Linked DNA regions of Mus musculus: region 2 is reported to be linked to region 1. The links are microRNA targets in miRTarBase. Many come from high-throughput screens and were not tested one by one. Region 1 holds a microRNA gene; the other region holds the end of a gene's coding sequence.
Evidence for each region. Region 1 holds the annotated microRNA mmu-miR-5130 (CUGGAGCGCGCGGGCGAGGCAGGC, at 2,689-2,712, shown strand). A microRNA usually pairs through its seed, bases 2 to 8, with sites in the 3' UTR of a target mRNA and lowers its output. Matches are read on the target gene's strand: a 7mer-m8 pairs with bases 2 to 8, a 7mer-A1 pairs with bases 2 to 7 and ends in A, and an 8mer does both.

Region 2: miRTarBase lists Tns4 as a target of mmu-miR-5130. Seed matches in the 3' UTR shown: 7mer-m8 at 2,821-2,827 and 7mer-A1 at 1,840-1,846.

Annotation. Positions count from the first base shown.
Region 1 is chr14:102,980,933-102,985,319 of GRCm38, reverse strand. It overlaps Mir5130 (microRNA 5130), which reads left to right and starts at 2,688; the gene lies at 2,688-2,771. It overlaps Kctd12 (potassium channel tetramerisation domain containing 12), which reads left to right and starts at 2,683. Exons shown (of 1, transcript NM_177715.4): 1 at 2,683-4,387. The coding sequence starts at 2,880. The coding sequence ends at 3,863.
Region 2 is chr11:99,064,437-99,068,810 of GRCm38, forward strand. Tns4 (tensin 4) reads right to left here. Exons shown (of 13, transcript NM_172564.3): 13 at 1,242-3,886. The coding sequence ends at 3,745. Among named protein-coding and RNA genes, the nearest start is that of Tns4, 23 kb to the right of the region's middle.

The sequences.
Region 1 (4,387 bases):
AGGGCAGTGATTATTCTGAACACACTTCCTGGAACATGGTGGTAGACCTTGAATGACTACAGAGGGAATAAGTGAATGATCAAAGTATTTATCAAAAGATTATAGAGCCCCGGCTGTGTTCTGGATATTAAGGATATAGTAATGAACAGAGCTGAGAAATATCCCTGACCTCTTTGGGTCTTACATTCTGACACAGGGAAAGAGACTTTCAACAAAGAAGGCAGGGAAGAGAAAGCTGTGGAATAGAGCTGCACTTCATTGAACAGGGTAATGGGCAAAGGGGACCTGGGGAAGGGAAGAAGGAAGGGGTGGGACACAGTGTGGGGGATGACGAGTCATTTAAGGAAAGAGAGAGGGGAAGGGCCAATGGCATGAGAACCCAGCACATTCATTGCAAAGTGTTATGGCATGGGTCAAAGAAGCATGTGTGGGTCAGAAACAAGCAAGCATCTGTCACATCATTAGAAGGACTTTGGTTTTGCTCATGTGTGACGTGGGAAGAAACACACAACACAGGGTCTGACTGGATCCTTCTCTTTGGTCTAGTGATGGAAGACTGATGGGTGCTAGAGTAGAGGCAGTTTGGAGGTCCAGGCAGTGATCTGAGGTGATAATGAGGTGATGTTGGCTTGGTCAACATGAGGTAATGTTGGCTTGGTCTTGAGGGGTGGTGGAGAGGTAGTGACCCTAAGACGGGAAGGATCTTGAAGGGAGACATGGCAGCATAGAACAATGACCCAGTTGTGCCAAGGTGACACTGAAGTCTTTTCTTGGGCTTACAGAAAAGTGGCAGTTTTGTCAGGCCTGAGATGCTGATATATCACATTCAGTGTCGGGACTCGGAACTTTCCTGTCATCTATCATTTATCCCAAGGAACAGTTGAAGAATGGTGAAATATATTCAGTATCAGAAATCTGTGCCTGCAATTAAGCAGGCTGGTCTGGGGCCTGATCTTATTTCAGCTCTGTGACACGAGTGCAGTAATTGTTTGGCAGACATAAACATTTCAGAAATGAAAATGACATTCATCCGTGAGAAGACTATCAAGCTCATTGGACAGTCGCACAAAGGGTAGACATCATTATTAAGACAAAGATCTTTCTGGGCTTATTGTGATTGACAGCCTGTCCTTCAAAGTGATCTGATAACTGTTCAGATGGCCAACCCTTTGCCTCTTGGCTGCTCTAAAGGAGATGTAGGTAGTCAGCCTTGAATTCTCCACAGCCTGATGCCCAGCAACGTATAAGAGCATTTATTAAAATTGTGGTTTTTCAGAGTCTCCTCTATCTTGGGCTTCTTGAAGCCCTTATCTATTTATTCACCAAAAACCAACGATCAGATAACAGACCACAAATTTGAGATTTCAGAACGTGCCAAGTGCAAAGATGGGAATTTGAAGAGCAACCTGTCTCATTCCCCTGGGAGACCATGGAAGGTTTCCCGGCAGTGGCAGAATTCTGTGGGCTGAAATTTGTGCATGACTCCAAACGCTGAACAAGTAGGAGTCCATAGAGAGCATGGCTAAATCTGAAGGGCCTTCAGACCTACACAGCCTTTCTTCTCTGGTGGACGGTCTTGTAAAGTACAGAAGAGAACGATGGAGGGAGGAGGAGAACACGGGTTACTGGACCTTTAGAACAGTTATGCATGGGCTAAAAGTAAATTATTTTCTATACGTGCATTAACATTTCAAGGAACAAATAAAACATCAGCGGAATTTTAGTAAAATAATGAAATACTAGTAAAATCATTAAATACTAATAATACGAATAAAAGAAAATATTAGATTGGAATTTTCTGGTGCGATTTACAGATGGCTGAAAGCAACCGGAGGCCTCACGTCCCACTATTGGAGGCGCTTATTAGCTTTTCTTGCCCACGCAGTGTAAGCCCCTCCCCCCCCCTTTGTGTCCACCCAACTTCCTCTCCTAGTCATTTCTGCTCACTGCAGTACTGTGTTGTGGTTTCCTAACCAAAGACTTTATGCTCTCGCAAAATAATCTAACAGAGCATTTTCGCGAAGCATTCGCTTGTGGTTTCTAGGGATTTTTCGAGGCTATACGCTAGTCACATAGTCACGTGAAAAACCTTTGGGTGGTCTGGACTTGAAGGGACCGGTGCATCCTTTCCAAGTTAGTGTCTCTTCAGAACTTCCAGAGACCCGGGGATGGATCTCCAACAGCAGCGCTCTGCACTGTTAGAAGCGGGTAGGTCTAGAGGGCGCTAGCCGCAGGCAATCAAGCTTTTCCACTCTGCCAGAAAGTTTCCAACCCCTTCTGGAGTCCCCGGGTGCCGGCTGCGGTCAGCCGAGAAGGGCGGCGGGAGGGGAGGTGGGAACACAAGAGGATCGCTTTAGTGATCAGCCTCCTGGAGAAGCGCCTGGAGGCTCTGACCCACTGCGGAAGAGGAAGAGGAGCTGGGCCCGGAGCGGGTGGGCGGACGGGCGGTGACAGTCCGGTCGTCCCCCGGAGCGCGCGGGTCAGGGTGGAGCCTGCAGCCCCGAGCCGCGTCAGCGTTTAGCATGCAAATGCATTCCCCGCTCCTCCCCCACCCCCACCCCGCCCCAGCCCTCCCCGCCCCGGGAGCGAGCTCAGCGGCTCCGCAGCCGCCCACCGCCTCCTGCGCGCCGCGCCGCCCAAGCGGGCGGCTCTACTTAAGCGGCGCGCGGGCCGCGACCCGCCACTCGCCTGGAGCGCGCGGGCGAGGCAGGCGCAGCGCACCGGGGCTCTCGTGGGCGCACTGCTGCGCGCTCGCACCGCGCGGCTCTCAGTGGCCGGCCGCCGCCTGAGCGCAGGGCTCCCCGATAAGAGCCGCTGGGGCTTCCGATCGCGACCCCGCTCCCTGCCACTTGGCCCATCCGGGCCACCTCTTTTTGGCCATGGCTCTGGCGGACAGCACCCGAGGATTACCCAACGGGGGCGGAGGCGGAGGTGGCAGCGGCTCGTCGTCGTCCTCGGCGGAGCCGCCGCTCTTCCCGGACATCGTAGAGCTGAACGTGGGAGGGCAGGTGTATGTGACCCGGCGCTGCACCGTGGTGTCCGTGCCCGACTCGCTGCTCTGGCGTATGTTCACGCAGCAGCAGCCGCAGGAGCTGGCCCGGGACAGCAAAGGCCGCTTCTTTCTGGACCGGGACGGCTTCCTCTTCCGCTACATCCTGGATTACCTGCGGGACTTGCAGCTCGTGCTGCCCGACTACTTCCCGGAGCGCAGCCGGCTGCAGCGCGAGGCCGAGTACTTCGAGCTGCCGGAGCTCGTGCGTCGCCTCGGGGCGCCCCAGCAACCCGGTCCGGGGCCACCGCCGCCGCACTCGCGCCGCGGGGTGCACAAGGAGGGCTCTCTGGGCGATGAGCTGCTGCCGCTGGGCTACGCAGAGCCCGAGCCGCAGGAGGGCGCCTCGGCCGGGGCGCCTTCGCCCACGCTGGAGCTGGCTAGCCGCAGCCCGTCCGGGGGCGCGGCGGGGCCCCTGCTCACGCCGTCCCAGTCTTTGGACGGCAGCCGGCGCTCCGGCTACATCACCATCGGCTACCGCGGCTCCTACACCATCGGGCGCGACGCTCAGGCGGACGCCAAGTTCCGGCGGGTGGCGCGCATCACCGTGTGCGGCAAGACGTCGCTGGCCAAGGAGGTGTTTGGGGACACCCTGAATGAGAGCCGGGACCCCGACCGGCCCCCGGAGCGCTACACCTCCCGCTATTACCTCAAGTTCAACTTCCTAGAGCAGGCCTTCGATAAGCTGTCCGAGTCGGGCTTCCACATGGTGGCGTGCAGCTCCACGGGCACCTGCGCTTTTGCTAGCAGCACCGACCAGAGCGAGGACAAGATCTGGACCAGCTACACCGAGTACGTCTTCTGCAGGGAGTGAGCTCCCCACGCCCGCCCCTCGCCACTCCGGTGCCCACTTCCCTTCCTCCCCTCGGGGGACAGGATTATAGATGCCCTCGCTTCCTCCCTGTTTCCCGATTCCTTCTGCCCCCACCCCCAGATCTCCTAGTAGGTCACCCAGACCCGTCTGCACCCCACTTGCGAATCTGCAGCCACAAATCCTCTGGGCGTCTTCATCATCTTTGGACCCCACTAGCCGAGAGAGTGTTCTGATGTAGCCCTTCACTCATGCTTCCTCTACTCCTGGCCTCCAACCACCCTTCCCCCAGATTGTCGTGATCTAGTGGGACAGTCACCAAGTACCTGGGAATGACTGAATTGATCAGAATCGGATTGCACGGTGTCCGGCGTGCAGTTCGGACGAGTCCTTGACATCTTAAACCCTTTGACTCCATAGCGGTTTCAGAGATCAGAACTGAGAGTGCTGTGTGGAGAGAGTGCTTTAAAAGGTTGTTAGAGATTTGACCCTCATTAGAAAGAGAGTTTTAGACAATTGAATGGTAG
Region 2 (4,374 bases), not on the chromosome of region 1:
ATTCTCTAGACATTCCTGACCAGGTACCGAAGGTCCTGATGGCCCTGGGCTTCTTTCATCTGCTCCTTGGTGAACTTTATATATAGCCACATTGAACACAATACATGTTTTCTCATGTAATCATGCTGAATGCAGCACGTTTTCTTATGTAGCCACATTGAATGTAACACATGTTTTCATACCCCTGCTTCATACACACACTTTTTTTTAAAATTATTCATTTTATATGTGTGAGTACACTGTAGCTGTCTTCAAACACATCAGAAGAGGAAGGACATCAAATCTCATTACAGATGGCTGTGAGCCACCATGTGATTGCTGGGAATTGAACTCATGACCTCTGGAAGAGCAGTCAACACTTAACCACTGAGCCATCTCTCCAGCCCACACACACTTTTTTTTTTTTTTTTTAACTTGTCTAAGAATGCTGGAGAGGTAGGGCTGGCATGGACCAGAAATGTAGTTTCCCCACCGCTTACTACGCCAGTGACACCCCCACCCCCACCCCACGCCTCAGTTTCCTAATCTGAAGAATGGGCTCAAATAAAAGAGTCACTCCTCATTGTAGTGAACACCTAGGAGCCCTTCTGGTAAAAAAAATGGCTCCTCACAGCTGGGAATGGTGGCAGAACACTGAGGCAGGGAGATTGCCTTGAGTTTCAGACTAACCTGCCTCCAAAACAAAAACTGAAACAACAGGGAGGTGGCTCAGTGGGTAGAGCCCTCACTGTGCACTATTAAAGATTCGAACTTGGATCCCCAGACCCATATAAAGCCAGTAGTAGTACACATCTGTAATCCCAAAATGCCGGTGGGGGGATGGAAAACATAGACAGGAGACTCTCTGGAAACTCATGGACAGCTTGCCTGGTGGACATACAGTGGACAACAGACCCTGTCTCAAACAGGGTAGAAGGTGCCCTCTGACCTCCACACTTAAACTGTAACATGCATGTACACACACACACACACACACACACACACACACACACACACACACAACTATAGGGGCTCAGTGGTTGACAGCACTAGCTGCTCTTCAAGATGAAATGGGTTCAATTCCCAGCACCACACAGTGGCTCACAACTGTCTGTGACTCCAGGGGCGCTCTAACGCCCTCTTCTGGCCTCTGTGGTCAATGCAAAATGCGCATGGTGTGTCCTGGTATGTTACTCTCTGCTCTGTTGGGTCCCCTTCTCTGCTCAGGACTCAGGAGACAGCTCTGAATGTCCAGAACCAGCTATGGTGCAAAAAACTTTATTTTCCATGAGGCACACAGGGAGTTGTGGAGGACTCTCCCATTCAGCCTAGAACTGGCACTACTAACTGGGAAAACTTTGCTAACACCCTGCAGACCCCGGCAGTGGCACAGAGCCTGATCCCACACTGGGAAGGCCGGTCTTGGCCTGTACCACTGACCTAGCATCCCCCCACCCCCACCCTTGGGTCTGATTTGCTTTTCTGACATTGAAATCATCATCCCTCAGGACTGACCTTGGCCAATGACAATGTTGCTCTGTAGGCTGATAGCGGGCAGGGACAAACACTTGCTTCACACTGAGTTACAGTGGGCTTCTTCTGTGAGCTTCCCCTTGCATGTCATGGAACGGTCTCCTAAGGAGGCAGGCGGACTGGACCAAGAGCAACAAATGCTGCAACAAATGGCTTATGCAAGGCTGGCAGGGTGTGGGAGGAAAAGGGCCCAGCTTCTTTAACCAGCTGGGAAAGCTGCCTGTCTGCATGCTTGACTCTCTGCTTCCCCCTTGTGGTTGTAAGGTTGGTGATGCCACATGGTTATGAGTGTGTGTGTGTGTGTGTGTGTGTGTGTGTGTGTGTGTGTTGGAGCTGGAGGAGGATCCAGCAAGACTGGAGCTGGGGCAGAGATATACTTGTCTCTGTACTATAGCAACAGGGTCTCTCTTCTCCTACCCACCAGATGTGGATTCCTTGAGCATTGCCAGACAGCTGTTGCTTACCAAGAAACTGAAAGCAAAGTTTGGGATGATGTTCATTTGTAATGGGTGGGCAAGGAGGGATTAGACATGAAGAATGTGAACATTGCTGAGTCTTTTTTTTTTTTTTCCAAGACAGGGTTTCTCTGTATAGCTCTGGCTGTCCTGGAACTCACTCTGTAGACCAGGCTGGCCTTGAACTCAGAAATCTGCCTGCCTCTGCCTGCCTCCCAAGTGCTGGGATTAAAGGCGTGCGCCACCTCTGCCTGGCCCTGCTGAGTCTTTTCTAATCGTGGGTACAAGGGTCTTCTACTGAAAAAAGCTAGCCTTTAGAATCCTGATTCAACATCACAGAATAATTGATGAGGTGAGACAAGAGTCCACGCTTGTAACAGCAGAGTCCAGGGATCTTTCTATCATGCTCTTGGGAAAAAGATTCCAAGACCTTGGCAAATTACACCTAAAAATCCAAGAAATCCAGGATGTTCCACCAGACAGGAGTCAAAAAACTGCAGCAGATAGATCTCAAGATCATGAACATCATGAATGAGAACATGAATGAGAACATCATGAATACTGCATTAGAGAAGGCCTCACCGACAGAACCTTCATTGCAAAGCAGAAGATGCAGGGATGTGAAAACTCACCCCTTTTCTGCTCCCAGACTTGACTCTGACAACCTTGGGGCAGGCTGAATTTGATGCCCCTTTCCCCAAAGCCAGCTGAAGTGGGTTGCATTATAAGGTGTATGCTCTGAGGCAGCCTGGTCTGCTCTGGCTGAGGCCCTTGACCTGGTCCCCTCTCCATCATAGACTGAACCTTGTAGGCTCTTGCCCATTCAGTACCCTCTTCCCACAGCAGGTCTTTGTGGAGCGATGCCCCCAGCTCCGTGTTGGAGTGTGGTCTCTTCAGGTAAAGGCTTTGAAGACCATTGGCTGAGATTTATGAAAACCTTAATCCCACTCCCATTGTGTGTGTGTGTGTGTGTGTGTGTGTGTGTGTGTGTGCGTGTGCACACACGCGCACGTGCATGCCTTTCTGTCTCTTTCTCTCAACAGGGTCTCATGTAGCTTAGACTGCCTTAAACTCATTATATAGATAAGAATGACCTTGAACTTATGATCTTCCTGCCTTGTAGTGCTGGGATTACAACCATTGACCATTGAGAATGGTTTGTGGGGCTGGTGATCAAATTCAGTCCCGTTCATGTAGGGCAATCAGTCTACCAACTGAGCTACACACATCCTCAACCCCAAACTTTTAAATCTCTGGGCCAGTGGATCCAAGAGGCCCTCAGCAAACCGAGAAAAGGAACAGGTGTGGGGAAATAGAATCTGTCCCCAAACTCCGCGAATCAACACCAGGTGCCAGCCAGGAAATCGATGGTTCTGATCCAACACCTGCTGTTTACCACAAGGCAGGGGTCATAGGTCTCTGGTACAACCTACCATGTAGGGAGTGCTCAGGGAAATGAAGCCAGACGGTCCTTGCAGACAGTTTTTACATAAGGGATCTTGGATGTGGGTGGGCTTCAGTAGTATGGAGGAACACACTAAAGACTTCCAGCCGAGTGTCCAAGGAGCGGCTGTCTTAAGGACGGGTGTCTTTATAATCGAAGAGACGGAGGCTCCAGAGTCAGGTGAAGGTTATTGCTGAAGTCACATCAGGTTCAAAGGGTTCAACTTGATCAATCCAACTTGAGTCCAAGAGATAGGTTTGTCAAGGAGGCCACAGTTCCATGTCCTGGGCAAGTCCCTTGAGATGTCAGAGAAGGCACACAGATGGCACCCTTCTACATCCTTTCTGTGTCCTGAAGCAGAGCAGTCACTAGGCTGATGACCTGGGAAGCTGGCTGGACCGCATCGTACTCTGCGAAGAGGTGGCACACGTTCTCTTGTGGTTCTGTCTGGCTCTTGGCCACAAACCCAAAGATCCTGGTGAAAGAAGACAGTCTGAGGGGATGTGGGCTCGAGAGACATCATGCTAAGGGGAGGGTTGGATGGGGAGGGCACTCAGCCTGAACCTAACTACCGCTCTCCAAGCCAACTGGCTTCAGTGTCTCCTGTGCGTGTATGTGCATATGTATGTGTGTATGTATGTATGTGTGAGACGCACATGTTTGTGTGGAGTTAGCATGTGTCTGTGTGTGAGCGTGGAGGCTGGGTGTCCTTCCTCAATTACGTTTCTTCCTCAATTGCTCTGTACTACATTTTGAGACAAGGCATCTCACTCAATCTAGGAGCTTACCAATTGGCTAGACTGGCCAGCCAATGAGCACCAGGGATCCACTCATCTCTGCCTCCCCAGACACACTGTATCTGGCTTGTCACATGGGTTCTGGGGATCCAACCTCGTGTCCTGTGCTTGAGTAGCAAGCACTATACTCAGAGAGCCACCTCCCCAGCATGTTCAGTTCCTCCTT